2 linked regions of the Stegostoma tigrinum genome follow. The protein of the gene in region 1 binds, or shares a complex with, the protein of each later gene. Links are inferred from orthologs where the notes say so. Each region holds a gene or a part of one and is shown on either strand. Other genes may lie near its edges. The genes, in order: stx17 and snap29.

Region 1 (16,684 bases):
ATACTATATATTTCACTATCAGCCACAATGGCACAATTTGTATAATGGTTCTTTAAATCTATACCATTCAGCTGCTGAGCTGGTATTGTAAGGGTTGTCAGTTCAAAAATTATAGATTATTAGTGATATTCATAATACTCAAAGCATTGTTATACTACATTTGACAACAAAATATGCATGAGGGTCAAAGACATACATAGGATCAGTCAGTCAACAGGCCGATTCCAGAATTTAAATATAAAGTAGAAAACAATGTATATATTGACTATCTAAATCATTCGATTGATTTTCTTGCTAAATAGTTCACTAGCTTCTTTCTAAGGATGCTAATGTTCATGCCAAGCAATTACAATCCTTTAAGTCAAATGTTCATAACTGATCTATCCATTCATCTTCTTCATTCAGGCTCTAATTCTGTTTCCCCTTATGAAGTGAAATAACAAATTCATTCAAAGTAACTATTGAAAGATGGTGGCAAATCTCGATGACTGAAATTCCTTGTACTGTATGTAAGGGAAGTTTTAAATACATAAAAATTATGTATTTAATGAGGACTTGCATTATTTTGGCACTTATCATAACTACCAGACATCTCAAAACATTTTACAGTCAATGAAGGATGTTTGAATTGAAGTTACTATTGTAATACAGGGAACACAATACAGACAATTTGCGTAGAGCCATCATCCTCAACAGCAATGAGAAAATTACCAGATAGTAACAATTATCACAAAAATCAAGAATTTAGAAATGCATTGGTTTCTGCTGAGACCAACCTTTCTTTTTCAATGCCACATTCCAGCTGAATCAGTTCTAGTTGTTTTTGCACTCTGCCTACTTGGGGGTGGCACATTGGCTCACACTGCTCCCTCACAGTGCTAGGCGCCCTGGTTTTCTCCCATACTCCAAAGATGTGCAGGTTAGGTGGACTGGCCATGCTCAATAGCCCACAGTATTCAGGGATGAGTGGTAGCCCATAGAGTCTAGGGTGGAAAATGCAGGGTTGTGTAGTGGGTGGGTCTGGGTGGGGTGCTCTTTGGAGGGTCAGTGTGGACACGATGGGCCAAATGGCCTGCTTCCACACTCTAGGGATTCTATGATTCTACTTTGTGCAGGCACCTGTGAAAGAAGTGGGATTGTGGGAGCATTCATTGAAAACCCGATTGAGTTTCTGCCAGTAGAAAGAACTTACTTATCATTTCACAGAACTTTCTGCCTGTTGTTGGATTGGACACAATAAAAATGTTTCATGCACTCTCATTATCAGAAACTATTGACGCTGAGATTAGGAAAAGGCTATGAATTGGGGTAAAAACCAGAAGAACTGTGGATGCTGTAAATCAGAAACAAAAACAGAGATAACACGGTGTGAAGCTGCATGAACACAGCAGGACAAGCAGCATCAGAGGAGTAGGAAAGCTTGACGTTTCAGGTTGGGGCACTTGCTCACAAAAACTGAAGTTGGTGGAAAAGCTCAGCAGATCTGGCAGCATCTGTGAAGAGAAATCAAAGTTAACGTTTCAGATCCTTCCTCAGAACTGATGGTGGCTGCGAACATGTCAGCTTAGATGCAGATGATGGGGTGAGGGCTTGGGAGAAGTGACAAGGGGTAAACAGTAGGTGGGGATAGAGCCCAAACAGACAGAAGAAAACAGTTAGATAGACAGGGAGCGGATAACAATCTGGCTAGGAGGGTGAGTAGCTGTTAATGGGGACTGTTAGTGGCAAACAATAGGTAGTGTGTAATGGCAAGCTATGTGATAACAAGACCTGGTGTGTGGGGTAGGGGGCTAAGACATGAGAGAGTTCAGGCCCTAAAGTTATTGAACTCAATATTGACTCCGGAGGGCTGCAGGGTTCCCAAGCAGAAAATGAGGTGTTGTTCTTCCAGCTTGCACTGTGCTTCGCTAGAACACCACAGCAATCCTGAGACAGAGATGTTGGCCAGGGAACAGGGTGGTGTAGTGAAGTAGCGGGCAACTGGAAGCTCAGGAACTTTATTGTAGGCAGAACACAGTTGTTCCGTGAAGCAATCAACCAGTGAATGAATTGGGGTTGACTGATGAACAAAAATACTATTTACTGCACTAACTGCAAGTTCCCCTCCAAGATACTTGCCATCCCAACTTGGAATTATATTGTCATTCTTCCATTGTCACTGGGTCAAAATGATGGAATTTCCTCAGTAAGGGCATTGTGGGTCTACCTGGAGCATATAGACTGCAGTGGTTCGAGAAGGCAGCTCACCACGCTTCTCAAGGGCATCTAGGGATGGGCAATAAATGCTGGTTTAGCCAGCGATCTCATATCCCACTGGAGAACAATTAAGATCTGGACAGCTGCGCAGGTCAATAAGAATTTGAGGCATCAGATCTAACTCCAACTGATAGACTGTAAAACTGTGTACTCACTGTTTGTAAAATTGATGAGCTGAGAACTAAATATTTAACTGAAGGAAGAAAATGCATTCACTTTTATAAAATGTTGATACATAGACTATATGTTTCATTGTAAATTAATTACAAATATCAACAGTATCTGCATATAGTACTTATGCAGCAATCAACAATGGTCTGATATTTTCTAAAATAATAATCTGTCTGTAATTTATGCAGTTGTCCCAAATGTTTGCTATAACTTCAGCAAAAATCTTGCAAAAAGAAAATGCAGCTGTTTGCTTTGTTTCTCAGGTTCTACTACTCTACTCTCCACTGAAGTTGCGGTAAGAGATTAGTTAACTCGCCTAACACAAAAATTGTACACACCTGTAACTTCCACACAATGATGGTAAAAACATTGTTTTATTTTACACTGCTAATGTCATTGAACCCTCAACATATTTATTGTCTCTTCTTTCAACAGACTCAGCACTAGAACTTCATATACAACCATAGAGTTTTTACAGTGCAAAAAATAACCCTTTGGCCCATTCTATCTGCACCAGTCATCAAGCATCTATCCATTGTATCACATCTCCAGCACTTGTCTAGTAACTGTGCACGCTATGGCATATCTAGATGTCCTAAAGCAGGGCCTTCTTGTGATCACCATTTCCCCCATATATAGCCCATGGCAAAAGGGATAAGCAGTGTGAGAAATGCATATTCTTAGAAGACCATAATATGTGGGAGCAGATATAGGCCATTCAGTCCATTGTGTCTGGCGCACCAATCAGTTGAATTATGGCTGGTCATTTCTAATCTAATAGACTATGAGAATTGGAAATGGCAAATTTGGATAATTCCTAGGGGGCAAAGTTTTACCAAGCGACTTTTTGGAACCCAAAAATCAATGGATTAAGAAAAACTGGGCATTGTCTGCTGTTCAAGAAAGTCAGCAGACTTTGCAGAGAATACAAGCGAAAGTTGCTAAGACAGAGGCAAAAGATAGGGTTTATTATTGTAACTGATGGACAAACAAGCTTGAAAAGTTGTAAAGATCTGTGCTGTCATTGCCTAACAGTAGCCTCTGCACTGATATTTGTGTGGATTTTTCATTATAAATCAAATATGGCTCTGCTGGAGAGGTTTGCAAAGATAGAAGCTCTCTCATTCTCAACAAAGAATTTGTGAATCAAATATCAGGGTTCTTAACTGTTTCCAGATGAGATCTGGGCTGAAGATCTTCCATTACTCTTCAACTGACAACAATCAGATTGTCAACAGATATCAAAGGAAGTCAACTTATTTCTACGTTCTGCATTCAAACCCTTGACAGACAAGGACATTATTCCTTTAATGATTCTTTTCCCCATCCACAATAGCCCTGAGGATCTGTGAGATCTTGTCCTATATATGAATATGTGTGTTTTTGGAATAAAGGGAGATATAATTTGAAACTATGTAGTAGCATAGTTGATAAACCATTTTGCTGTTTATTGTAAGAATAGATTTTATCTTCAATAAATGTTATTTTTCGGTGTATTGAGGAACCCTGATGAAAATCTCTTTTGTTCTAGATAAACTAACCATTTGAATAATTAAGTAAGACATTCGCTCTTTTGGTATAGCTTTTAGAGTATTGGAACTTGATTACCATTGCACTCCTCCTGGCAGAGCTGTAACAAGATAAAGGAATTTTTACAACGCAAATTTACATAGATCTGATCTATTTCATGTAGGTAGGCATCAGAATAAACCTAGTGCACAACATAGCTTAGCAGTATCAGTGGAACCACCAGGGGCCCAGATATCTGGCCTGGCCTGAGACTCCACTAGAAGCTAGGGCAACAATAATCCTCTTAGCTCCTTTATAATGGTAGCCTATCGAGACAGCCAAAATTGTCAATAGTGGTCAACACACAGCAGTGTTTTTCTAGTTCCACCTGCTGCCTGACAGGACCCAAACAGCTTCCGTTGTGACCATTGCATCCATAATTACTACTTCAGTGAAATGACCTTTTCTTGAGTCCTGATACTCCACAGGTGTGAGATGCGGGTGTCATCAACGCCAGTTTGCCACTGTTCTACTGGAAGCAGGGCTGTGAATTTTCAAGTAGTGGAGGATGTATTTTAGTGTAGTCCCATTTGTGTTTGATTGTATGTGTTTGGTGAGCAGCAGCCATTATCTAAAATAATCAGGAATAAGGAAAAGTTGCAAATTAAAATGATGCTCCATCTTGGGTTTGAGAGGTAATATATACACAAGGAAATAAATATTCTACAGATACCGGCTGGGAAATAATTCAGAACTGTGTATCCTTGTTGTGGTGTTGGTACGTTAGCTTCACAATCCATTTTTATATTTTTGAATTATTGAACAATCCTGATATTAGTTATCTGGATGTCTATCATTGGTACTGTATTGCATCATACATGCGGGCAGCCTGATGATAGGCACAGCTCATTCAGTGACAAATCATATTAGTATCAAGGTTTTGAGGTTTTGCCTAAAACATAAGTGACAGGTCATTCATGTCATCTGTCTGCTTGTCCTCTCAGCCAGGGACAATGTGTGGCAGTGTAAAAGAAAAGAAAGGTCAACATTATCCTCTTTTGAACAAATTGCAATCCATCCAAATTCATTCCGTAGAAATAAATGCCTTTCTGACATACGACGGAAAAGTTAAATTAACTGGAATTAATTTTTTTTTATACAAAAAGTCCCAACATCTGCTTGATTAACATCCATAACATTTCGAAACAGGTAACAAGCTAAAGGTCTTACTCCCAATACTTGTGCACTTCAGAAGTTTGAAACATTATAAGTAACCTCACAGAGACCGGTATCCCAGGCCAACTGGTAATCCATTATTTACATGTGGAGATTCCTTGACAAGTGTCCTGCTATAATTACTTCAGATACTGAAGCAGTCTATGTTCAAATGCAACAAGCTCTGGAGGATATCTAGGCTTGGGCTGAGAAGTCACAAGTAACAATCGCACCAAACAAATGCCAGACAATGACCATTTCTAATAAGAGACAATTTAACCATTGCCCTTGACATTCAATGCAGTCACCATCACCAAATACCCCACTAACAACATCCTGGGCCTACCAGTGACCAGAAACTCAACTGGGCTCACTATTTAAGCACAGTGCCTACGAGAGCAAGTCAGAGGCTAGGAACACTGCGACAAATGACTCACTTCCTGATTCCCCAGTGTCTGTCCACAAGCTACAAGCAAGGAGTGTGATGGAAAACTCCCTCCTTACCTGGATGATGCAGCTCCAACAACACTCAAAAACCTTGACACCATTCAGGAAGACGCAGCCTGCTTGATTGGCACCACATCCACGAGCATCTAGTCCCTTCATCACTGATGCTCAATAATAGCAAAAGTCTGTATTGTGTACTATCTGTATGACACTGCAGTCCACGTGCTATAACTTGACCTTTTGGAAGGAATTCCAGGATTTTGAACTGATAATAGAGTTGTGAAAGCACAGTGATATATTTCCAAGTCAGGACAGTGAGTGGCTTGGAGGGAAACTTGAAAGTTGTGGTGTTCCCATGTAACTGTTGCCCTTGTGCTTCTAAGTGGAAGTGGTTGTGAGTTCGGAAGGTGCTGTCTAAGGATCTTTGGTAAATATCTACAGTGGCCTTGATACCAAGGGTTGTAACTCTCATCTCACCTCTAAAATTCAGCTCTTTTGACCATGTTTGAACCAAGGCTGTAATGAGATCAGGAGCTGAGTGCTGTAGGTCTTGTGTGCAGAAAGACTGTGTTAGTTTTTTGGGGCAAACGACATTGGGGGCAGATGAAAGACAATGTGTAATTCTCCCAACAGCTGTGGACGCACAGCTTTTTTGGTTATTGGGAGCCTAACTTTCCCTGAGGCACCAGATACAAAAGCCTTTCAAGAGTTGACGGATTTACTTAAGGAATATTCTGATCCCAAGCCTCCTCTAATTCTGAGACACTACCGGTTTTGAAGCAATTCAAGAACCAGGGAATTCGTATTAGGATTTTTGACAAGGTTAAGACAGAGGCATGTGACTTTGGTTTAACCCTTAATGTGATGCTGAGAGACTGTTTGGTATGTGGGATTAACAATATAACCATGCAAAAACAGCTACTAGCTGACGCCCAATTGGACTTCAAACTGAGACCATAACTGGCTTTAATATTAGAAAGTTGGGCAAGTGGACCATTTTAGTTACAGGGTATTCCAATGGAAGTGGTCACCCTCGCCAGCCTGACTGAGCTTGTGGAACAGCACTTGAGTGAAGGGAATTGCATAGCTTCACTCAGGACATATGCTGAACATAGGGACTCGAGGTCAAGCCAAAGCAAAACCCCAAAACAAAGGCAAGCCTTTGCCAAACGGTTAAAATTTTCTTCAGTATCTGGCAAGCCATTGTAGTTGCCACCAGTATGCAGACTTGAGACAGCAAAAGGAGTCCTGCTAGATGTAAATTGAGTAAGAAAACGCGTGGCAAGTATCCAACCTGGAAGGTCCACCTACATCTGGTTTGGAACAGTTAAATTCTTAGCAACATCTAGATCAGAGCGAATCAGAATAAACATCTGGTTAAATGGTCACCCGCTTCTAATGGAGGTCCTTGCTAGTGGTGTGGCCGTTTCAGCGATCACAGAACCGGTCTTAAAAAAATTTGCTCTGGACTCCAACCCTTGGGATTGCATAAGGCCTCAGACAGACTGAGAACCTTTACAGGTTAAGGGTACACAACTTCGATCCCATTCTCTTATGAGAAGCAGCTGAATCAGTTAACACTGATTGTAGTGAAAGGGCCCAAGCTTGATGGAGCAGATTTAGTTGAGAAAGGTTCACTTAAATTGGCTGAACGTTTTTTGATTTGAAAATGGCTTCCTGAATGAAGTTCTAATTAAATACCCAGAAAGTGTTTAGGAAGGTCTGGGGACTATCAAAGGAGCCAAGGTCACCCTGCATGTTAACCAGGAAGAAATTCCACAATTCTGCAAGGCCTGCTCAGTGCCATTTACCCTATGGGCAAAAGTAGAGGCAGAAATAAGGCGGCTAGGAAGTGAAGGAGTCATCAAACCAGCCCAATTTTCTGAATGGCCAGCACCAGGTGTAATGATTGGGAAGCCTGATGTGTCGGTTTGCCTTTGTGGGGATTTTAAACAAATGGTAAATCACTTTTCATGGCTGAATAAATACTCAGTTCTTCACATAAAGAATTTATATGCAAAGCTGGCAGGGGGATTGTCCTTCATGAAGCTGGAGATGAGCCATGCGTATTTGCAATTACAGTTAAATGAGAATTCCCAGAAGTATGCTACAAGTAATTCACACAAGAATTTGTACCAATGTATGAGTGCCATGTGGGGTATCGTCAGCCTGTGCAACTTTTCAGTGGATAATTGAGACATTTTACAAGGTCTACCCCAGGTCGCCATTTATCTAGATGACATGTTGATAAAAGAGAAGACTAACAAGAAGCACTTACAGAACTTGGGCATAGTCCTTCGACATTTCTCCCAGATAAGGAAAAAATGTGTTCCAGATGCTCAAGTGACATCCTCAGGCTACAGAGTCAACAAGACAGGGTTACCACCATTGGAAGAAGGAGTGACGGTGATCAAAGGTGCTCCAGCTCCCACATCTGTAACAGAGTTTAGCTCTTTCATTGGGCTGGTGAATTATTACAGAAAGTTTGTACCTAACCTGACTCCCATCCCGGCACCTTTACATCAACTCTTAAAAAATGGTCAACCTTGGAAATGGTTGCATAGCCAAGCCATAGCTCTCAGGGAAGTGAAGAAACAGCTATCATCCTCTGAGCTGTTGGCACGTCATGAAACCCGCACTATGATACTGACATGAGATGCTTCCCTGTATGGCATTGGGGTAATATTAGCTCAGAGGTGATCCAATGCAGAGTGTAAACACACCCTAATAGAGAAGGAAGGTTTGTCAGTTGTATTTGGAGTTGGGAAGTTTCACCAAATCCTTTACAGATCTAAATTTGTAGTAAGAATGGTCCACAAACTCTGCTGAGTCTCCTTGAAGAGGCCAAGGTAGTGTGCTTGTAGCTTCAGGCTAAATTCAACAGTGGGCTTTGATACTAAGTGTTTATAAATAACAAATTGGAACAGTGTTCAGGAAGCTAAGTAGCAAATTTGGGACTCCTCCAGGCACTCCTGTTTCCTTGCATAGTCCAAAGATGTGTAGGGTTGGTGAACTGGCCATGCTAAATTGCCCGTATTGTCCAGGGATGTGCAGGCTTAGTGTCAGTGATGGGAAATGCAGGGGTACAGGGCTAGGGTAGCCGGTGGGTCTGGGTGGGATGCTCTTCAGAGGGTCTGTGTAGACTTGCTGGTCTAAATGGCTTGCTTCCACATCTGTAGAAAGGTTGAAAATGTGACTGGCTGAGTGTGTGGATTGATAGTTTAGCGGTAATACTAGTAGGCTGGTTTGCTAGTTTCGACATTATTTAAACAGCTTAACCTAAAATGCATATTTGTGTAAATGGACTGAATGTTTGATAAAAATGGCGTTGGTGGAGAACGAAAATAAAACTAAACACACTTGGATTTTTTTTCCTTTCGTGATTTGTCGATAATTTCTAATCCACCTGCTCAGATAGTACCACATACATCTGAAACAGTTAGGATGTGAACCTAGGCCTCCTGGTCTAAAGGCAGGGGCACGACAACTTCACCCTTTTTAGTGATTTGTAAAACTTACTCATCTTCAGCCTTGAGTTGCGAGCCGCCAGGCCCGATGGAGCCGCGCCCGGTTCTCGGGGGGGTGTGTTCTGTGGTAACGCCGGAAGTGGCGGCTCTGTCAAGTTGTGGCGATTGCAGTCGATCGGGAGAGCGGTTTATGTTCGGGTTTTTACCAGTGGGCAGGGCCCCGAGGTAGGTCTTTAGTTTTGTGTGTGCACCTCCGCCGAACTCCCCCCCCCCCCCCCCCTTCACACGGCCACCGGTGTGAGAGAAGCTCCGGCTCCTCCCACAATCTGAATCCTTGAACGGCGGCGACCTGTTGCTGGAAAGTATGAAAATAAAACTTGAAATGTGTTACGCATAATCCCCGGCGGTACCTCGTAGGACATCAGTATATTCAGTGTTTGGTGCCAGAGGTCGGAGATAGTGGGAACTGCAGACGCTGGAGAATCCGAGATAATAAAATGTGAGGCTGGATGAACACAGCAGGCCCAGCAGCATCTCAGGAGCACAAAAGTTTGCCTGTCACCAAAAACTGTTCTGAGGTGACCAGTGTTTCTACAGAAATTCGTCTTGTTTCCTGGGACGATGCCCTTTTTAAAAATTCCTCATACTACATCTGGGGAAATGCTGCCCTTGTCTCTTTGGCTTTTTATCATCGGCCTAGTGCGCCCAAGGTGCAGGGCACAGTAGGAAGACTGTCTTGTGGCGTAGGGCTCTCCAGGACTGGTGCTACTGACAAAATACACTATTCACATCATCCACCCAAACTGACGGTATTACTTTGGCCTGCTGTGTTCACCCAGCTCCACGCTTTATCTCTTACTTTCCAGTGAAATTCTTTTTTAAGTCCCAGATTCGAGTTGCACCGACATCAGACATCTCGCAATGCCACTGTTGGTGGCAATGGTCACCGAGGAGTATATGGAAACTCTAAATGTGGTAATCAGGTAGATGCTTGCCAATTCTAACTCCATCCAGAAGGGGAAAGGAAAGTAAAACTTGTGATTAGCACATATTTGTTTGACTTGTGAACTTCAGAATGGAGATCCAGCATGCCTTCTGTGACCAACTGTTACCTTTTAAAAACTGGTTTAAACCTCTCGGCAGTGATTGAGTGTATACACAGAAGTTATTGAAGGAGGTAAGAGTTCCAGATGGAGGTCAATAAAGCACAAGGTGGCTATGCTGAATTTGAATTGAGCACTTAATTTAGTCAGCGAGAGTATTACCTCTAGTTCTGTGCGTTTCACTTTAATTGTGAAGGCATTAAAGAGAGTGGTTCCATTGATGAGGGACTTCAGTTATGAAGATAGACTGAAGAAATTAGGACTGTATTCAAAATCATAAGGCATCTGGACAGTGTAGATCAGGAGTAAGTCTTCCCACTTGTGACAGGATTGAGAATGAGAGAGAAAAGATTTAAAATAAACAGCAAAGCAAGCAAGGGAGTTGTGAGGAAAAACCTTTTTGTGGAGCAAATGGTTAAACATCTGGAATGCACTTCCTGAGAATGTGATTGAAGTGGGTTCAGTTGAAACATTCTAAAGCAGGGCTCAAGATCAGTTTCTTTTCAAGGGGTTCCCTTCAGGTTCTTGTCTCAATTTCACTAATTACTTCATTAAATGGTGCGGGACATACGCAAGTTGTAACAATATCTTTTATATTTGTATGGATGGGATATTGGGGATTTGGACTTGCACAGCAGCAGAATTAAAAGAATCATAATTCCCATTAATCATCATTGCTTCATCACGAGAAAAGCATTAATTTTCTAAACAGTACAGTGTCTAAATTGGCACGAGACAGTAGGTATAAGTTAGATTTCCTTAAAAAAAGCTTAACACTGTCATACTGGAAAAAGTCAAAACCCTAAATGTGCTTTCAGTGGATTAGTGAGATCACAGCTAAACGATTACGTGTTTGTCGTGAAGAAACAACTGCACCTTGGGTAATTCTTCATATCTGAGATGTTGTAATACATTAATGACATCCCCCCCACATTCCATCCACTCACTATTTCCAATCCCCCAATTTTCCAGCCTCTCAGTGCCTCCTGACACTTTCTAGACCTTCACTACTTCCTCCTGCATTTACTATCCCTGACTTTCAAGCATGAACTCCTCATCTCCAAGTGTTAGGTGTAAGGTGAGTTGGCAGAGTAAGGCACTGGAATGTTAGAGGGTGGAGGGGAGAAGTGAGCGGCTATAAGCATAGAAAATTGGAGCATGAATAGGCCATTCACCCCATCGAGCCTGCTCCGCTTTCCAGTATGATGTGGCTGATCATCAAACCCAGTATCCAGTTCCAGCTTCCTGTCTATACCCTTTGATCCCTTTAGCCTTAAGACCTTTATCTAACTCCTTGAAACACAATATTTTAGCTTCAACTGCGTTTTGTGGCAGAAAATTCCACAAGCTCACCTCTGGGTGAAGAGATTTGTCCTCATCTCAGCCCTGAAGGATTTACTCAGTATCCATAAACTGTGAGCCATGACTCTGGAGTCTCCCATCATTTGGAACAACCTTCCTGCATCGACCCTAGTGGTCTAATCTTGTTAGGATTTTCTTGGTTTCTGTGAGATCCCTCCTTATTCTTCGAACTCCAGCAAATATAACCGTAACTGATTTAAACTCTCCTTATTTGTTAGTCCTCTCATCCCTGGGATCGATCTATTAAATGTTTGCTGCACTTCCCCAAGAGCAAGAACATCCTTCCTCAGGTAAAGAGACCAAAACTGTACTCAACATTACAGGTCTGGTTTCACCAAGGCCCTGTATAATTGCAGCAAGATATCTCTGTTCCTGTACCCAAATCCTCTTGCTGTAAAGGCCAACGTACTATTTTCCTTCTTTACCGCCTGTTGCATGCATACTTTCAGTGACTAGTGTACTAGGACACCCAGGTCTCATTGCACCTCCCCCTTTATGAATCTGTTGCCATTCAGATAATCTGTCTTCCTGTTTTTGCTACTAAAGTGGATTACCTTTATACTGAACTTTGTCACCTGCAAACTTGGAGAAATTATATTTAGTTCTCTTATTTAAATGATTGGTATGTTTTGTGAATAGCTGGAATCCAAGCACTGATTGTTGTGGCATCCCAGTAGTCACTGTCTGCCACTATGTATTTATACTCATTCTTTGCTGTCGCCAACCAGTTCTTTATCCAAGCCAAACACTATCCATAGCCCCACATGCTTTAATTTTACATGTGAGTCTGTTATATTGATAGGCACAGTTTGATTTGTGATAGTCAACATGGATTTGTGAGGGGTAGATCATGACTCACAAACCTTATTGAATTCTTTGAAGAGGTGACCAAACACGTGGATGAGGGTAGAGCAGTGGATGTGGTATACATGGATTTAAGTAAAGCGTTTGAAAAGGTTCCCCATGGTAAGCTCATGCAGAAAGTAAGGAGGCATGGGATAGGGGAAAACGTGGCAGATTGGATTCAGAATTGGCTGATCCTTAGAAAACAAAGGGTGGTAGTGGACAGAAAATATTCAGCATGGTGCTTAGTTATGTGTGGTATACCACAAGGATCTGTTCTGGGTCCTCATCTCTTTGTGATTTTTGTAAATGATTTGGATGAAGGAGTGGAAGGGTGGATTAGTAAGTTCTGGGACAATACGAAGGTGGGTCGAGTTGTGGATAGTGCGGAGGACTGTTCTAGGTTACAAAGAGACATGGATAGGATGCAGAGCTGGGCTGAGAAGAGGCAGATGGAGTTTAACCCTGAAAAGTGTGAGGTGATTCATTTTGGAAGGACAAATTTGAAAGCAGAATACAGGGTTAATGGAAAGATACTTGGCAGTGTGGAGGAACAGAGGGATCTTGGGGTTCATGTCCACAGTTCCCTGAAAGCTGCCATCCAGGTGGATAGAGTTGTTAAGAAAGTATATGGTGTGTTAGCTTTCATTAATAGAGAGATTGAGTTCAGAGCCGTAAAGTTATGCTCCAACTATACAAAAGCCTGGTTTGGACACACCTGGAGTATTGAGTCTAGTTCTGGTCACCTCAATACAGGTAAGATGTGGAAGTGTTGGAAAAGGAAAACTGTTGCAGACAAGATTTACCAGGATGTTGCCTGGAATGACGGAAAGGTCTTACGAGGAAAGGTTGAGAGAGCTAGGGCTTTTCTCTTTCGATATCGAAGGATGAGAGGTGACTTGATAGAGGTGTACAAAATGATCAGAGGTATAGATAGAGTGGACAGCCAGAGACTTTTTCCTAGGGTGAAAGTAGCTATCACGAAGGGGCATAGTTTTAAAGTGAGTGGAGGTAGATATAGGGGTGACGTCAGAGGTAAGTTCTTTACTCAGAGAGCGGTCGGGGCGTGGAATGCATTGCTGTAGAGGATAGTGGAGTTGGCCTTATTAGGGGCATTTAAGCGGTGATTAGATAGGCATGTGAATGATCGTGTAAGGTATGGGTGGAGGTTAGATAACCTTTGGTTTAGGGTAGAGGTTTGGCACAACATTATGGGCCGAAGGGCCTGTACTGTGTTGTGCTGTTCTATATTCTATTAATTCTGTACTGTAAATCCATTCTGACTGTCTAATCCCATCGATCCTGAAATGAGAGTGCAGTAAGTGGCTCAGTAGTGGGGGAGAAGTGGAATGTGGGAATGGAAAGTGGATATATCAATCAATAAGGGAACAGCTGTCACAGATGATTCCGAACGCAAGGGATAGATGCAATAAAGGTCACCAGTGAATACTAAATACTGCTTTTAGCAAAGTGTTGACTGAACTTCAAGGACAGATAACTGGGGCTTGTGCTGGGGACTTCCGAATTTAGATACATTTTCATTGCTTGAAGAAGGGGTATGTTTTCATGTACTTACAAGTGACGTGCAATAAGTGCATGCAACAGAGCCAGAGGAGTCCTCCTGCAGTCATGAGTATCAGGTTATACAACAATGAGGCCATGGGATGACAAATAAGACACTTATTATGGAGGTGGTGAGGCTGAGGGCCGGGCAGAAAAGAGGCTACAGAGGGAGGACCCATGCACTTCCAAATGTGTTGCTTAGATGTCAGAGAAAGTGAAAGCATGCTTGAGCATATAGAGAGTTAAGATTCACCTATGAACATAATCAGAAAAATGGAAGCTGAAAATGTCTAGACTGAAATGTTAAATTAAGTCATTAAATGCGGCAGAAGGTGTGGTGCAAACTTATCCTAATTCAACACAAATTGGCAGCTATGTTAGAATGGTCAAGTTGTGGCTGTTGAGAGATGGGAAAAAAATTATCGTTGCTGCAGTAGAAAATGCCATTTTAATTTGGGACTAAAACAGCTTTGCTAAAGTTGAGAACCACCACCACCACCGCCGCCCCCCCCCCTGGATCTCCAAACACTGGGGTCATTGAAATTTCAAGCTCAAGAGTAAAAGTTGGGGAAGCGGGTAGCCGAGATCCAAACAACTTGCCCCTACATCTGGCACGCTGACCTGTGAGTGCTTGGTGCTGGCAATGAGGGCCTTTCCCCAGGCAAGGAGAGGTGGGTTGTGTGTGTATGCAAATTAGATCTCCAATAAGACTCTTTGGCTGGGATTTCAAGATGATTTGATCTGCCTTGGCTTTCACTGTGGCAGTTCTAATTGATTGTATCTGCCAGGTAACTAATTTCAGATCTATGAAATCCAAATAAGGTCATTAACCTGTATCCTGCATCTTGCCAGGTTGGATGAGGTGCATGAATAGTGGGAAATAATTACTAATCTGGTTTGTTGTTGCAAAAAAGTTGAATTCAACAAGTTTCTTAGCCACAGTAAAAATATGGTACTGACAGCATTAGTTATTTTAGCCTGAAAATTGCTGTTTTCCTTGAGAATTGCAACTTTATCCAGCAACTTCCATGTGGTTCAGAGTCTACTGCGTTGAATCTTGACTTCTCTTGCTCATGCTACATGTCTGCAGCACAGAAGTTACCTATTTTGCAGTAGCATTGAAGTTCTGAGGAGGAGCAGCAACTCCAGTTTATCCCGTCTCCAAAGACAATTACAATCCCACAGGACAGACAGCATGGACAAAGAGTCTATGCTTGACTTCCTTTTCTTCCTCATTCGTAGATATCTGTAATCAACCTGTTCAGATATGTCAACACGCACTTCTGGATCTGGTGGGACTTTAACCTGGGCCTCATTTAAAAGGCTGCTGTTTGGCAAATTATTTCACAGAATGGGGTTTAACTTCCAAATACAGCCTCATCTAACCCTGTGACCACTTTTCCACCTCCCTTGATCATGCCATGCTGAGTTATTTTTTACTATGAGTGGCTCATTTATTCAAGTCCATTGGACCTTCAAATTTGCCATGTACATGCAGTAATTTAAAGGCACTGACATGTACTCATAAAATCATGGAATTTTACAGTACGGCAGAGATTCTTTGGCCCCTTGAGTCAGTACTATATCTGCACTAGTTGCACTTTCCAACATTTGACACCTAGCAGCTTTTGCTCCGTGGGCTGAAGTTTACTCCAGGACCTGAGTACAAAGGTATAGACTTACACTCCAGTGTACTACTGAGGGATTGCTGCACTCTTGATGCTGTCTTTCAAATGGGATGCTACAACATTTAAAAGGCATCTGGATGAGGTCCCATCTACCTCGTACAGTAGATCTAAAATATTCTTTGCCACATATTCAAATAAGACCAAATATTTATCCTTCAACTGACATCACAAATCAAAAAGTCTGCTTAATATCATATTGCTAATTGCAGTGCACGCGTCGGCCTTTGCATTTCCTATATTACAATAGTGTCAACGTTTCAAAAGTACTTCATTGGCTGTGAAGTGCTTTGAAATTTGGAGCCGAAATGTTGACTTTCCTGCTCGTCGGATGCTGACTGACTGGCTGTGCTTTTCCAGCTCCATGTTTATTGACTTGAAATGCTTTGAGATGCCTGGTAAAAAGTGCTATATAAATGCAAGTTGTTTTTACATTGAGCTTTCAGTGCCATTCACTCTCTATCCTAATGACCTCCGACATCATCCTTCATGACATCAACAAATTCCATCTCTACCTCACTTAATCTGTCATTGAAACAATCATCTGTGCCTTTGTAGTCTCTACACTTTCTTTTGGCTCACTCCTTGCCTGTAAATTTTAGGCCCTTTATTGTGCTTACTGTGACTGTTGTTTTCACTGACCTTGTAGTGGCACCTGGACCTTCAGATTGCACCCTCATAAATGAAATCCTTCATCACTTTATTCTTACCAACTCTGTAACCAACTTACACCTATACTTTTCCTTAAATTTTCTGCTTTCCTGCCTCTAACTTCTTGTGCGTCTCTTTGCTTTCAGCCATTAATGATGGTCTTGTCTTCAGCTGCATTGTCTTACTCATAGGACTTCTTGCTTGAGGCTCTCCATTTCTCTCTTCTCAAAATTTGCATCATCTTGCTTTTGATTATTCCCTGTCTATGTCCTTTCCTCTGGTTTGATGTTTAGCTTTTTACTTGCACTTCGTGGAAACGATATGGGATTTGGTTTATGTTAAAGGCTCTCCAGAAATAAGTTATTTCTGTGACTGTAGTAACTAACCTACAAATATCTGGAATTATCCAAAT
Region 2 (15,911 bases), on another chromosome or scaffold:
AGTCTAATGCGTTCACACCAGCCAGATTCCTTTGTAAACCTAATCCCATTTGCCAGCATTTGGCCCAGATCCCTCTGAACCCTTCCTATTCTTATACCAGTCCAGACACCTTTTAAATTTTGTAATTATACCAGCATCCACCACTTCCTCTGGCAACTCATTCCATGTATGTTCTAGCCTCTGCATGAAAAAGTTATGCCTTATGTCCCTTTTAAATCTTTCCCCTCTCACCTTAAACCTATGCCCTTTAGTTGTGGGGTCCCCCAATCCAGGGAAAAGACCTTGTCTATTTACCCTATCCATGCCGCTCATGATGTTCTAAACTTCTATGAGGTCACCCCTCAACTTCTGATGCTCGAGGGTAAACAGCCCCAGCCTATTCAGCCTCTCCCTGTAGCTCACTCCCTCCAACCCTGGCCACATGCTTGTAAATCTTTTCCAAACTATTTCTACTTTCACAACATCCTTCCTATAGCAGGGAAATCAGAATTGCACACAGTATTCCAAAAGTGGCCAAACCAATGTCCTGTACATCTGCAACATGACCTCTCAACTCCTATACTCGATGCACTGACCAATAAAGGAGAGCATACCAAACGCCTTCTTCACCATCCTTTCCACCTGTGACTGTACTTTCAAAGAACTATGAACCTGCACTCCAAGGTCTCTTTGTTCACCAAAGATCCCCAGGACCTTACTATTGAGTGTACAAGTCCTGCCCTGATTTGCCTTTCCAAAATGTGGCACCTCACATTTATCTAAGTTAAAGACCATCTGCCACTCCTCAGCCCATTGGCCCATCTGAGCAAGATACTGTTGTACTCTGAGGTAGCTTTTTTCACCATCCACTATACCTCCAATTTTGGTGTCATCTACAAACTTACTAACCATACCTCCTGTGTTCACATCCAAATAATTTATATAACTGACTAAAAGCAGTGGACCCAACCCCAATCCACACCACTGGTCACAGGCCTCCAGCCTGAAAAGCAATCTTCCACCACCACACTCGATCTTCTACCTTCAAGCCAGTTGTGTACCAAAATGGCTAGTTCTCCCTGCATTCCATGTGATCTAACAATCGTCTTTGTTACTTCTTCAAAAAACTCACTCAAGTTAGAGAGACATGATTTCCCATGCACAAAGCCACGCTGTCTTTCCCTAATTAATTCTTACCTTTGCAAGTACATGTAACTCCTGGCCCTCAGGATTCCTTCCTACAAGGGCGGCACGGTGGCTGAGTGGTTAGCACTACAGCCTCACAGCGCCAGGGACCCGGGTTCGATTCCCACCTAGCGCGACTGTCTGTGTAGGGTTTGCACATTCTCCCCATGTCTGCGTCGGTTTCCTCTAGGTGCTCCGGTTTCCTCCCACAGTCCAAAGATGTGCAGGCTAGGTGGATTGGCTGTGCTAAATTGCCCGTAGTGTTCAGGGGTGTGTGGGTTATAGGGGGATGGGTTTGGGTGGGATGCTTCAAGGGGCTGCGTGGACTCGTTGGGCCGAAGGGCCTGTTTCCACGCTCTAGGGAATCTAATCAAACTGGCCCACCACCAGTGTCAGCCTCAATGATCTATAATTCCCTGGCTTTTCCTTAACCTTTCTCAAATACTGGCACCACAGTAGCCAACCTCCAGTCTTCCGGCACCTCACCTGTGGCTATTGATGAAACCGATCTCTCAGCAAGGATCCCAGCAATCATTTTCCTACCTTCAGTTAACATCATGATGGGTAAGAAATGCAGGTCTCGCCAGCAAAGTTCACGTAGGGCAATCAAGAAAAAAAATGTCAGTTATATTTCACAGAATGATAAAAATGTACAGAAGGGGGCCATTCAGCCTGTCACATCAGTACTAGCTGTCTGCAAGAATAACTCCCCTAGCTCCACTCATCTGCCTTTACCTGTAACCCTATAGTTTTTTTTTTCAAAACTTAATTATCCAATTCCATTTGAAAACCACAATCGAGTCTGTTTCCACCAGGACTGTTAGAAAAAATGGTTAAGAATGATTATAGGATGCTTGCCTTATCTGAAGCAGTTAAGAGCAGGGGTGTTATTCTGGAACAGTCTAAAACATTGATTTGGCCACAGCTGGAGTAATGTGTGCAATACATAATAGGAGGGACGTGATGGCACTGGAGAGGGTGCAGAGGAGATTTACCAGGATGTTATTTGGGTTTTGAGCGTTTCTGTTATGAAGAAAGATTGAAGAGACAGGCATTGTTTTCCTTAGAGCAGAGGAGATTGAGTTGTATAAAATTATGAGGGGCACAGACAGGAAGGAACTTTTCTCCTTGCGTAGACTGAAGGTGAGGGGCAGTTGTTTAGAGGAGATGTAATGAAAACTTTCTCACCTGTTAGTGATGGGAATCTGGAACTCACTCCCTGTAAGGGTGGTAGAGGCAGAAACCCTCATAACATTTAAGAAGTATTTAGTTGCGCACTTGTGAAGCCAAGGCATACAAGGCCGAGGCCCAAGCGCTGGAAAATGGGATTAGAATAGGTAGGTGGCTGCTTTTCACCAGTACAGATGCTATGGTCTAAAAGCTCTTTCTCTGTGCAGTAGACTCAGTGACTATGACATTCTCAAGCAGTACAATCCAGATGCTAATCTTTCACTGCATTAGAGCTTTCTCCTCATGTCATTTTTGGTTCTTCTGGCATTCACATTGAATGGATGTATCCTTTTGATCTGGATTCTTCCAATAATTAGTCATTTTCTCCCTAATAATTGAGTCCAGACCCCTCATTGTTTTGAACACTTTTATCCAAACTCCTCTCAATGTTCTGGTCCCCAACAAGAATAGCATCAGCTTGTCCAATCTGTACTTACAATTGAGTTCTCTCATCCCTGGAACTATTCTTGTTATTCCTTTCTGCTCCCTTTCAACAGTCTTTATACCTTTCCTAAACCAGTAGTGCCCTCAACTGGACATAAATCTTCAGTTGAGGCAAAACCTACGCTACAACAATGACTATGCTCCACATGTACTTAAATAGCTGTAAAGCAGTTTGGAGCATTGTTCAGTCATGATTGTGAAAGTCGCCATAGGAATGGAATGCAGTAACACAAGTAGGCTGTTCAAGTCTTCTCTACCATTCAATTAGATCATGACCGATCATCAATGTCACTTTCCTGTACCATCTCCGTAACCCTCAATGTCATGAGTCTCCAGAAATCTATTCACTTTTGTTTTCAAAATGCTCAATGATTGAGCTTCCACAGCCCTCTGGGGTAGGAAAATCCAAAGATTCACCACTGTCAAAGTGAAGAAATTTCTCCTCATTTTCAGTCTTAAATGGTGTAGTCCTTCTTCTAATACAAAGTCACGTGGATCTGGACTCAACAGTCAAAGGACACATCCTGTCTAAATTCATGTATCATGTCCTTGTTAACTCTTAATGAGAGCCCCTCTCATTCTTCTAAACTCTGGAATAACATTTACCCATTTTCTTCAATGTTTCAATGTAAGACAATCCCATTCTTGAAGGAACTAGTATAGTGAACCTTCATTTCTTTTGTCCATAGCAAGTATATTCCTTATTTGATAAGGAAACAAAATCTATCCACATCATTCCAGCTGCAGTCTCACCAAGTCTCCAACAGCTTTTTTTTTATATTTACTTGCTGGCTGGCCAGCATTTATTGCCCATCCCTAGTTGCCCTTGAGAAAGTCATGTTTAAAACCTGTACCAAATCCTCTTGCAATGAAGGCCGAAGTATAATTTGCCTTTCCAATTGCTTGCTGGCCTGCACCTTAAATCTTTACAATTTCAAAAGGACACTCAGTTCCATTTGGACATCAATATTTCCCAACCTCTCACCAATTAGGAAATACAGTGTTTTGTTTCTACCACAAAGTGAATCACTCTACATTTACAGGTTCATAGAGATGTACAGCACAGAAACAGACCCTTTGGTCCAACTCGTCCGTGCCAACCAGTTATCCTAAATGAATCTAGTCTCACTTGCCAGCATTAGGCCCATATTCCTCAAAACCCTTCCTCTTCATGTACCTATCCAACTGGCAGAGGTATTCACCAACATCTTCAACCTCTCCCTCCTACACGATGAAGTCCCCACCTGTTTCAAGAAGACCACCATCATTTTTATAGCTAAGAAAGCACATGCAGTGTGCCTTAATGACTACTGCCCAGTGGCTCTGAACTCATTAATCATAGGATGCTTCACGAGGTGGGTCATGGCCCACATCAAGTCCAGGCTCCCAACCTGCCTCAATCTCCTACAGTTTGCCTACCAACATAACAGATTCACAACAGATACCATATCCCCAGCCCTGCACTCATCCCTGGAATATGTGGACAACAAAGACATGTACATCAAACTCCTGCACATTGACTACAGCTCTGCCTTCAACACCATTATCGCCTCCCAGACTGATCTCAAAACTGTGTGCCCTTGGTCTCAGCTCCGCCCTCTGCAACTGGACCCTCAGCTTTCTGACCCAAAGACCACAATCAGTGAAGACTAGTAGACAAACAGGAGTTAACAACGTGTGGAGCTGGATGAACACAGCAGGCCAGGCGGCATCAGAGGAGCAGGAAAGCTGACGTTTGGAAGTTAGAAGAACACAGCAAGCCAGGCAGCATCTGGAGGAAAGCAGCAGTCAACATTTCAAGTATTACCGTTCTTTGGGACTGGATGTGGTGGAAGGGAGAGCTGCGGATGAAGTGGGGAGAGAGGTGGAGTCGGAATGGTAGTGGCAGGTGGACATTGGTAGTAGTTACAAACAAAAACCAAAAGAACTGCAGATGCTGTAAATCAGGAACAAAAACCAAGTTGCTGGAAAAGCTCAGCAGATCTGGCAGCATCTGTGAAAGGAAAAACAGAGTTAACATTTCAGATCCGGTGACCCTTCCTCAGAACTGATGGTGGCTGGGAAAACATCAGTTTATATGCAAAAGGAGGAGTATGGGCTAGGGAGTAAACAATAGGATAGAGCCTAAAGAGAAAGACAGTTGGACAGACAAAGTGTTGATTACAATCAGGCTGGGAGGGCGAATAGTTCTTACTGGGGACCATCAGTGACTAACAACACCGAGTGTAATGGCAAGCTTATGTGTTAACAAAGCCTGGTGTGTGGGGTGGGGGGCTAGGACATGGGAGAGTTTAGGCCCTAAAATTACTGAACTTGATATTAATTCCGGAAGGCTGCAGGGTCCCCAAGCAGAAAACGAGGTGTTGCTCCTCCAGCTTGCGTTGCAACACTGCAGCAAGCCAGAAACAGAGATGTTGGCCAGAGAACAGGGTGGTGGATTAAAGTGGCAGGCAACAGGTAGTTCAGGGTCTTTTTTGCAAGCAGTACGTAGATGTTCTGCGAAGCAGTCACCAAGTCTCTGTTTTGTTTCCCCAGTGTAGAGGAGACCACATTGTGTGAGTGAATGCAGTAGACTGAATGCTGGGAAGTGCAGGTGAAGTGTTGCTTCACCTGGAAGGTGTGTTTGGGCCCTTGGATACTGTGGAGGGATGAGGTAAATGCGCAGATATTACACCTTTGTCAGTTACAGGGGAAGGTGGTGGGTCTGTGGAGGGGTATTGGAGGTGAAGGAAGTGTGGACCAGGGAGTCCCGGAGGTAACGGTCCCTGCAGAAGGTGGACAAGGGAGGGGAGGCGAATATGTATCTGGTGGTGGCATCTCGCTGGGGGTGGTGGAAATGGCATCTGATGATGTAGTTGGTATGACCTGGTTGGTTGATGGGAGGGACGAATCTGGTCAGTGGCTGAAAGGGAGGGTCAAAAGGTGGAATGGAAGGGAGGAGGAGGGGCTGGAAGGGTAGCCTGGGGATGGAGTACAGTTATTTGAAATTAGAGAACTCAACGTTGAGTCCTCCAGGCTGTCAGGTGCCCAGGTGGAAGATAAGGTGTTGTTCTTCAAATTTGCGCTCTGAGTCATTGAGACACTGGAGGGGGGCCAAGGACAGACATGTTGGAGGGGGAGGGGGCAGGGAAGTTGAAATGGATGATCACCAGGTGGTTAGCTTGGCCTTTACAGGCCAGGCAAAGATGCTCAGCTAAACAGTCACCTAGTCTACATTTGGTCTCACCAACACAGAGAAGACCACATCGGGAGCACCTGATGCAGTAGACTAGTTTTGAGGAGATGCAGGTGAAGCTCTGTCTCACCTGGAAGGCCTGGATGCAGATGAGGGAGTGGGGCAGGGGGCGTGTGTGCAGGTGTTGCAACTTTTACAGATACAGGGGAAAGTACCGGGCAGGTTGGAGTTGTTGCTGGGGACTGCGGTGCGACTAAGGAGTGGCAACGGGAATGGGTCCTCTCGATGTCAGCAAAACCAAAGAACTGATCATCGACTTCATAAAGAAAGGAGGAGAACATGTCTCCATTTACATCAACGGAACTTAGGTTGAGAGGGTGGAGAGCATCAAGTTCCCCGGACTGACGATAACTGACAACCTGTCCTTGACTTTCTACATAGATGCGATGGTCAAGACACAGCAACACCTCATCTTCCTCAGATGGCTGAAGAAATTTGGCATTTCCATAAGGTCCCTCATCAACTTCTACAGACGCACCATTGAAAACACACTGTCCAGGTGCACAATGGCCTGGTATGGCAACAGCCCAGATCATCACAGAAGCCAACCTTCCATCCATGGACTCTATGTACATGGCCCGCTACCGCAGAAAGGCTGCCAACATCTAAAACTCTTGTGTTAGGCAGAAGATACAGAAACCTGAATAAATGCACCAGTGGGTTCAGGAACAGCTTCTTCACAACTGTTATTAGACTGATGAATGGACCCTTCAGCCTCAAATAATGCTGATCTTGCTAATATTGATCTTGCCTTGCACATGCCCTGTGCAACATAACCTGTATGCCTCTATCTAAGACTTTTTACAACCTCTGATCAGCACAACCTAGCTTACTATGATCTACCTGTACTACTCATAAACAAAGCATTTCACTGTACTCTGGTATGTGACAATAAATCAGTCAATCAGTCAATCCAGATGTCTGCTCATCGTGTCCTTGCCCATTTATTTAGTCAATTCAGGTTCACCTGAGCCTTTGTGCAACTTTGTCACAACTTAACTAGTTTTGTGTCAACAATAGGTTTTGAAATATTACATTTGTTTCCCCAAGACCAAGTTATTTATATATTTCATGAACAGCTGTGGCCACAACACTAACCCTTGAGGTACCCCATTGGTAAGAGGCTGTAGCCATCCTGAAAATGACCTGCAGATTCCTACTCAAGTTTTCTGTCTGTTAACCAATTCTCAACACTTACCTGTGCGCCCAATCCCACATACTCTGATTTTGTTCGATAAACCTACAGGGAGGGCGAAATGAAAACCTACTGAAAATTCAGATCAACCTGAAACGTAAACTTTTATATCGTTCCCTCTCCGCACGTGTGGAGCCTTTCTAGCAGTCTGTGTTTCTACTGAATTTCAGAGAAGTCAGCCAAGACTCTTTCGGGTGGGAAAGCATGGGGCTGGGGGTCACGTAACGATGCTGGCAGCCAGTCTCAAAGATGGCCGCGCCCTTGGCGTGCATCACCCGGGTGGGGTCACGTGTGGTGAGTCCGGGGGTTGTCAGGTGACGAGGCGCGGTGGCGGGGAGAGCCCGGAGAAGGCGACGAACTCGGTACCGACGAGACCGATCGAGGGAAGGCGATGTCGGCTTATCCCAATCGCTACAACCCGTTCGCCGAAGAGGATGACGAGGAGCAGGAGGGTCGGCCGGCGGCGGACTGGGAAGACGGGGCGGCTGGGCCCGCCGCCGATGATGACAGGCAGTGGTCCCTGAGGCAGCAGGTGCTGAGGAGCGCCGACAGGGCCGTCCAGAGCAGCGGCCGTAGCGTGGCCCTCATGTACGAGTCCGAGCAAGTGGGCACCGAGGCGGCGAAGGTGAGGGATCGAGCCTGAGGGATATCCGCGGCCTGAGCTCACCGCAAACAACAGATTCTAAATGAGGCCCTTCAGCCCGTCGCGTTGATGCCGGTCGTAGTCCTAGTAGCCCAACGTAAACCATGGAAACAGGAACTTTGGTCCAATTTATCTGTGCCGAACAGAGATCCTAAATTAATCTGGTCCCATTTGGCCCACCTACCTATTTATGTACCCATCCAGTTGCCTTTTAAATGTTGTAATTGTACCGGCTTCCACCACTTCCTCTGGCAGCTCGTTCCATTCGTGCTTCACCTTCTATGTTTCCCACTCATGTCCTTTTTAAATCTTCTCCCTCTCGCCTTTTTAGGTTACCTATGCCCTCTAGTTTTAAACTTTCCTATCCTGGGGCGGGGGAAGGCCTTGACTATTGACCCTATCCATGCCCCTCATTATCTTATAAGCTTCTACAGAGGAAATAGCCCCAGTCTCTTCAGCTTCTTCCTGTAGCTCCAACCCCCACAACCCTGGCAGTTTCCCTGAAATTGTGCAACTTGAAACGGTTCAGATGAAAGGTCCTGACCCAAAACCTCGACTTTCCTGCTCCTCTACTGCCTGACCTACAGATGTCCAGCTCCACGCTATTGACATCATCATCAAGCATGTATCTATTTCTAAGAATAGACAAAAACATAATGTACTGGAGAAATTTGCCATGCCTTCCAGCATCTGTGGAGAGTGGCTTCCCCCTGCCCAAGTCCAATGACTCATCTATTTTATGACTTTTCCTCAAGTTCAATGTAGTCATCCTGCTTCTAGCCTTAAAACTGTATATTTTTGTTGTAGACCCTTTTTACAAAGTTTCTCCCTCTTTGCAGTTTCCACAACCCTTGTAACTTCGTACACCTCAATCATGTTCCCCCACTGCGTGTCCTCTGCCTTTTCCTCTTTAAGGAAAACCCCAGCTTATCTCATCCCTCTTTGTAGTTGAATTACTCCAGCACCAGTGCTATCTTTTAACAACATTCATGAAAGTTGTACACTTCATTTAAAAAGGAGACTTCTTTTGCCAGTTCCTGAAGGTAACAGGGCATGGCTTTCCATAGACAAGTCAGTGAAACACGAGTGTTAGTTCTTGTGCTGGAAGCAGAACTACAGCAAAAGCAAGATGTTAACGTAGGATCAACTGAGCAAGAAATGAAAGTGGAAGTTACGTTCTGGATTTTGCTTGAATTAAACATCAATGTCTCTGGGTTCTAGGAAAAAAAGTGAAAGCTAGAAGATGCTAAACCAATGCTAGACCCCATTAGTTTGATTTTTTTTTGGTAGTACGGGCGAGGGCATTTTAGCTCAAGTTGATGCATGATGTGAACCTGTCCGTCCTGTTCTTCCTGCAATAACCCTTTAGCTCAGTTTGTTTCTTTCAATTCTGCCTACTTTCATTTAAATTGTAGATGTCTCTCTGCTACCATCTTGAAAACTAGTAATCTTACAATCATTACACACACAATATATAAAAGAAGTTTATCCTCCCATTCCTTGCAGGAATAGTAGGTTTCATTCCATACACCACATTTTAGGAAGGCCTGTGAAGGGCTTTGTATACAGCTAAGATTTCAGAGTAGTTCCAAGAATGATGGGTTGCTGGTGCTGCATAAAGAAGGGACGGTAGAAGGGAGATTTGCTGGAGATGTTTAAGATCAAGGAGGAATCAGGAAATGAAGAGAAACTATTTCCAATGAGCAATACTAGAGGAAACTAATTAAAGGTTACTGGCAAATGAGTTGGATGTAATGGGGCAGGAATTTTTGCAGTAGGCAAGAATTTCAAACCGCTTTCCTGATAAGGTGGTGGATATGCATCAGATTCAGAAGACATTTGGGGAAAAATACATGAGGTTAAAAGTTCAGGAATATAGGCCAAGAGTAAGGGGTGGGAGGAACTGGATTGTTTTGCAAGAAGTTGGTTAACAAACTCAAACACTCAATTTATTGTATTGGGTATGCTACAGTAACAATATGAGACATGTTCCCACATTGAGGTGAAGGTGAATAACAGATAAGTGGGACCATGAAAGAGAAAGGAATGGCTGACCTTTACCCATTCCTCTGTCTGACCACCTATTTTCGCTCTTGCTGTCATTCTGGGCTCCATTTCCACTTGTCGTTTACTTCCCCACCTGTTCTTTAGTCCATGTACCAACTTTATTCCAGTTACTGTCAGTTCTGAGGCAGGGTCACTAGGCCCAAAATGATCATTCAGATGCTGTCAGACCCTATTGAGTTTTGCCAGAAATTTGTTTTTGTTTCTGATTTCCAGCATCCGCAGTTCTTTGTTTTTAAGCAATGGAAAGTAGTTGATCGCATGAGATGAGTAGTGTGGAACATAAACGCACAAACTTGTAAATCAACTGTCAAATTACTTCCCTTCTGAGGAAGGGTCACCAGACCCGAAACGTTGACTCTGTTTTCTCCTCCCCAGATGCTGCCAGACCTGCTGAGCTTTTCCAGCAACTTTTTGTGTCAAATTAGTTTGTTGTGTACACCCTGTGTAATACAGTACATGATCCTGGTTTCCATAATTGCAAGATTAACAGAAGAAAGTGACAACAAGAACTGAACAGCTAATAACCATCGAGAAGATCTGAACAGCCAGGGGCTCTTTTGAAAAAGAAAAGACCGTGTAGTGACCTGATCTCCAAAGATATAAAAAATTTTTGAGATATAAAATAATTGATGTGGGGAGGAAGTTTCCACTGAAGAACTGTGGACCATAAATGTGAGTAATCAAAATGTCATAAATAGTTCAGAAGGCCTCTTTACCCTGGAGTGGATCCTGCTGCTGATTTGGTTTGATTCTGAACAGAGGGACATACTGTTCAAGTAAGGGTGGTTGAAAATTTGTTTGAAATGTTATCTCTGGTGCACAGCCCTTGGACTGATGCGCATGCTATTGGAAGTTCAGTTATCAGCATGGAGGTGACAAGTTAGTGGTCATAATGAAAATGGAGATGGTGGTGGAATTATCAGGATAGATAGCTTACAATAACAGGAAAGGCAGTCACTAGAAGGGACTGACCAGCTGTCATATGATTCTTTTCAAATCAATTTCATAGGTATTTTGATGCAATGAGTAATGATCTAGAATGCAGAGCTTCAGAAGATGCAAGAAACAGCTTCAATATGACATGTAATAAGGAATTGGATAAAGTTGCAGCCATGATTTATATGGCAGATTTCTTGCCTCTAATTCAGAAAGCTTGTGTTCAAGCCCAGCTCCAGGAAAGGCTGGCAGTGCAGTTCAATATTTAAAGGAGTGCTGGACTCATTTGAAGTTTACTAACTGAAATGTTAAACCTAAACCCCATTGACAATCCATTGCCCTATTTCAAAAGAGAGCAGAAGAGTTGTTCCGCAATGTCCTGGCCCACTTGTCCATTTTCAGATTGTTGAGAGATCTTGTTATGTGACAATTGTCTGTTTCCTATATTACAATAGTGGTTACATTTCATAAGCAATTCAGCTGTAAAGCACTTTCACTCAGTGTTCCCTCCCCCACCAGCCTTGCCCTTCACACTGATATGAGCATGCTGGCCCTGAACTCTCCTTATCTTATTTCTGAGAGCCTCCCACTTGCCAGACATCCCTTTACTTGTGAATAGCCTCCCCCCAACTAACTTTTGAAAGTTCCCATCTAATACCACTAAACTGGCCATGCCCTGATTTAGAACTAAACTTTAACAATGATCCAAAAGTCTGAATCCCTGCACCAGCTCCTCATTCATCTGCTCTTCCTCCTCTCTTTTTAGCATCTGGCTAATTCCCTGTTTTAATTTGCAGAACCTCATGTCTTAATGGTTACTGTAGATTTGGTTCTTATGCTTCACAGGAACTACTGCGACAAGGTGAATCTCTTAAGCGATCAGAAAATATGGTGAATAAGATGGACCAGGATTTGAAAGTTAGCCAAAAACACATCAACAGCATTAAGAGTATTTTTGGTGGCATTACAAACTACTTCAAATCTAAGAACCCAGAGCCACAGGTCTCTCCAGTGCCTGAAAAACAAACTAGCAGCAAGTAAGTATCCTCCCCTCCTTTCCCAGTCTATCTTTCCTCATTCTCCTGTACATCTCTACTTCCTTTCACACCTGTCTCCTCTCAGATTTTATCCTTCACCCCTGCTTTTCCACTTGTTCAGCGGCATTCTCTGAAAGCAGATGCTTGCTCACCCTCTGTCAGCCAATATTGTTCAACGCCATCCCTCCTCCCACTCCTCTACTCTTGGCCATTTCTTAACTTTGTAGCCAGAATTATTTCTAAGTGTCACAGGACATCTTTCTAGTTAAAAGATTTTCTCGTGTTGAATGATTTGGCAGTGATTGAGCTGTCCTGCTTTTGTGTAGATGACGTAACTTTCATGTTATGCTGTAGTCCCAGCTAATGTTAGTGCTGGAGAAGTTAGATCCCAGACTGAAATCTGGCTTGACAAATTTTATTATTTAACAAAGTATTCTTCCACTGAAACACAACTCAATGCTACAGTCTTTGTTGTAACAGTAAAACAAATTTATTATGTGAAATAAGAGAAAAAGGCAATTTTCAAGATTTTGAAACACCATACAATCCTGTCTATCTCAACATTGTTACAGTACTTAATCACCAGAGAGAACTCTCTTCTCCATCCCAACTATAAATTTAATTTGACAAATTTCTTTCAATTCTCAGCCTGAGAATTTGTTACGTAATTGAGCTTAAACTTTCTTTATTAAAATTAACTCTCTCAGGGTTCGAACCAGTCACTCTTGGAATGTAACTTTTAAAACTAAACTAAAACCCTTACTTTGAAGAAACCCAATTCTAACTTTTCTGAACTGTTTTCTCCTGAGAATCTTTCATATCTCTAACTTCAACCAGATCTCTCCTGAAGAATAAAACAAAAGTTTTCCAAGCTGTTTCCTTCTAAACAGTGAGCTAATGTTCCTCAATGTGTACTCCGTCCACTCGTAAAATTCTCCCAATGCAAACAAATCCCACTTTCACCCCAAGGATGCCTTCTCTTACACTGGTTTAGATAAACCATGGCTCACAACATACTGTCAAATGATTAAAATCCCTTCATTCACACCGGTGAAAACCCATATGCAACTAGCAAAATCTAAGCTGTCTGTTTAGTTTTGCAAATGCAAAAATGCTTTAATTTTTTAATATATAAAGCATGCACATTACAATTCAGCATTTTCAGGAGTTTATCAACATTTGTTAGTTTCTTCCTGCACAAACTTAAACCAATGATTGTTAGATTTCATAACAGTATTTGTACAAGATCCAATCAATCCTTGCATTTTAACTGATTACAAATATTATATCTCAGTAAACTATACCCAGTTACAATAGCCTTCAAAAAATGATTCGACTAATGATTCGACTAATGATTCGTCTAACTCCAGCTGCCTAATGTCTGACTCTTATATCTACAGTACTTGGAAATCTTTTTAATCAACCTTTCTCAACATGTTATGATATCTCTGGAGTAAGTGAGCCTTGAAACCAGGCTTTTTGGCCAGAGGTAGGATCACTGCCACTGCTCCACAAGATCCTTGCTATAGTGCTCATGATTAATCCAGTTCAGTTTCTGATCAATGGTTCAGCAATGGGAATGCTTTGGAATTTTGAGGTGAGGTGGTTATTGCCTAGTGTTTGTATGGCATAAATGTTGCTTACCACTTGTCAGCTCAAAGTTGGATCTTGATGTGTTTGACATGTATAGCTTCTGTATCTGAGGAGTCATGAATGCTCCTCAATGTTTTCTCTGCCCAGCCGTAAAACTTTCCCAATGCAAACAAATCCTCAATTTCATATCAAGGATGCCATCTCTCATAAGCATTTAAATAAAATCATGGATCAAGAAGTATTGCATTTTTTAAATGTAAGACCCCATATGAAAATCCACAAAAGCTGAATGCTGCAGTTAACAGCAAGCATCTCCATTCTGACATGGAGGGACTGTAACTGACGAAACAGCAAAAGATGGTTGGGCCAAGGACACCTATCTTGGAGCTCCAACAGAGTTGAACCTGAGGAGATTGATCTCTAACAACTGAGGCTATTTTCCTTTGTGCCAACCAACAGAATGTTTTCCCTAATTCCAAGTGACTCCGGTTTTGCTAGAGCTTTTTGATGCCGTACTTGATCAGAGAAAGCCTTGATGTTGAGTGCACCCATTTTCACTGGAGCTTGGTTCATTTGCCCATGTTTGAACTGAGGTTGTAATGAGGTCAAGAGCTGAGTGGCTCTGGTGGAAGCAAAACTGAGCAGGTTATTGTGAAACAAGTGCTATTTGTCCACGAATAGTTGTGACCGGACCTTAGCTTGAATCTGATCTATTGTCGTGAAATTGCTTAGCAGTGTCTGCCACTTGTTGTCAATGCTGTTTGACATGCAAGTAGTTCTGTTTTGTAGCTTCACCAGGTTGATAACTTTTAGGAATGTCTGGCACTGCTCCTGGCATGCCTTCCTGCACCTTCATTGAACCTGGCTTGATGGTTAAGGTGGAGTGGCGGAATGCCATAGTTATTGATGAGGACACTTAATTTTATGACTTTATGGTTTGTGAATGTGAGGAAATTTGTTCATTTTTTTTTCTAATGCTGGAATAAAGCAACTTCCTTCCGTAGTCTAGAAACTTTGCTCCCTGTTAGCAAGTAAAGGAAAATGTAAGCTAGTGTACTAAACACAAATTTATTGTCTTTTGCCGCCCCCCCCCCCCCCCCCCCCCCCCTCAAGCAGTCATTGAAACGGTTGGTTGAATCATAAGCTATTGTTAGTGACTCCCACAAGTTCTGTTGGAGAGGCAATGGCCTTGTGGTATTATTTGCTAGACTATTAATCCAGAATCCAGGGTTCACATCCTGCCATGGGAAATGATGGAATTTGAAATCAGTAAAAATCTGGAGTTGAGTCTTAATGATGATCATGAAACTTTTTGTCCAAAAATCGCAACTAGTTCACTAGTTTCTTTGAAGGAAAGAAATCTGGTTTGGCTTGCATGTGACTCCAGATCTACAGCAAGTGCTTAACTCTTAACCTCTGGGCAATTAGAGAGGCAAAAATTGTTAGCGTAACCAATTATTTACACAGACCGAATTGATTTCTTGAGTGTCTTTGGGTTTCACTTAAATTCGGCAGATCCCGCCTTTACACAAAACCAGTAATAAAACCAGAACTAAACTTATGAATCCCCTTTGTATTAAGTCGTCCTGTATATTCTGCTGATATTGGGTTTCCTCTTTTTGTTCCTCAAGTTCTGGCCACAAAACGAGTCAGTGAGAATCAGGGTAAAGCTGTTCACAGGTTGAAGTCAGAACTCATGTTGAGGTTGGTTGGCTCACTGAGCTGGTTTGTTGTTCCGCAGATGTTTCGTTACCGTGCTTGGTAACATCCTCAGTGCAACTTCTGACACGTCGGTGTGTTTTCCCGCCTGGCTTTTAAACTCTGGGGTCTGTTGCGATGGGTTTCCACCATGGTGGAATGTATATAGGGTCGAGTTCAATGCATTTGTTAATAGCCTTTGTAGAGTGCTGTGCTTCCAGGAATTCTTATGCTTGTCTCTGCCTAGCCTGTCCCAGTCGAAGTTGTGGTTCTCCTTGCCCATGTGGATTGAGATGAGTGAGTATTGGTCATGTCTTTTTGTAGCCCTTTGGTGTTCGTGTTAGTTTCCTTCCTGTTTGTCCGATGTAGTGTTTCTCGCAGTCTCTGCAGGGGAACTTGTAGATGACATTGGTCCTGTCCGTGGCAGGAAATGGGCCTTTAGTTCGGGTGAGCAGTTGTCGTAGAGTTGATGTGGGCTTGTGTGCCACTCTGATGGCCAGCGGTCATAGGAATCTTGTGGCGAGTTCCGACGTGTTCCTGATGTACGGTAGTGTGATGTGTCAGGGGGTGTAGAATCTTTCTGCAGTTGTTAGTGTAGACATCTTCTGACCCAGTTCTTTGGATATCCATTATCCTTGAACATGTGGAAGAGGTATTCTTCTTCCTCTT

Evidence for each region.
Region 2: the proteins of stx17 (region 1) and snap29 are in contact, whole or in part, in a crystal structure (PDB 4WY4), measured with the Homo sapiens proteins. The link is inferred for Stegostoma tigrinum from reciprocal best matches to the Homo sapiens genes STX17 and SNAP29. Residues at the interface, in NP_060389.2 of Homo sapiens: Glu170, Trp172, Glu173, Leu175, Glu176, Leu179, Ile180, Ser183, Val186, Thr187, Phe189, Ser190, Val193, Asn194, Gln196, Gln197, Ile200, Ile203, Ala204, Val207, Asn208, Ala210, Ala211, Val214, Glu215, Thr218, Leu221, Gly222, Ala224, Ala225; in NP_004773.1 of Homo sapiens: Arg52, Thr56, Ser59, Thr60, Arg62, Ser63, Leu66, Glu69, Ser70, Val73, Gly74, Ser77, Glu80, Leu81, Gln84, Val87, Leu88, Thr91, Met94, Val95, Lys97, Met98, Asp101, Leu102, Ile104, Ser105, His108, Ile109, Ser111, Ile112.

Annotation. Positions count from the first base shown.
Region 1 is NC_081355.1:89,956,347-89,973,030, reverse strand, and holds the start of stx17 (syntaxin-17), read left to right. Parts: upstream 1-9,166; 5' UTR 9,167-9,255; coding exon 9,256-9,290; intron 9,291-16,684. UniProt on the Homo sapiens protein: SNAREs, soluble N-ethylmaleimide-sensitive factor-attachment protein receptors, are essential proteins for fusion of cellular membranes.
Region 2 is NC_081379.1:7,568,178-7,584,088, reverse strand, and holds the start of snap29 (synaptosomal-associated protein 29), read left to right. Parts: upstream 1-7,562; 5' UTR 7,563-7,659; coding exon 7,660-7,893; intron 7,894-11,760; coding exon 11,761-11,951; intron 11,952-15,911. UniProt on the Homo sapiens protein: SNAREs, soluble N-ethylmaleimide-sensitive factor-attachment protein receptors, are essential proteins for fusion of cellular membranes.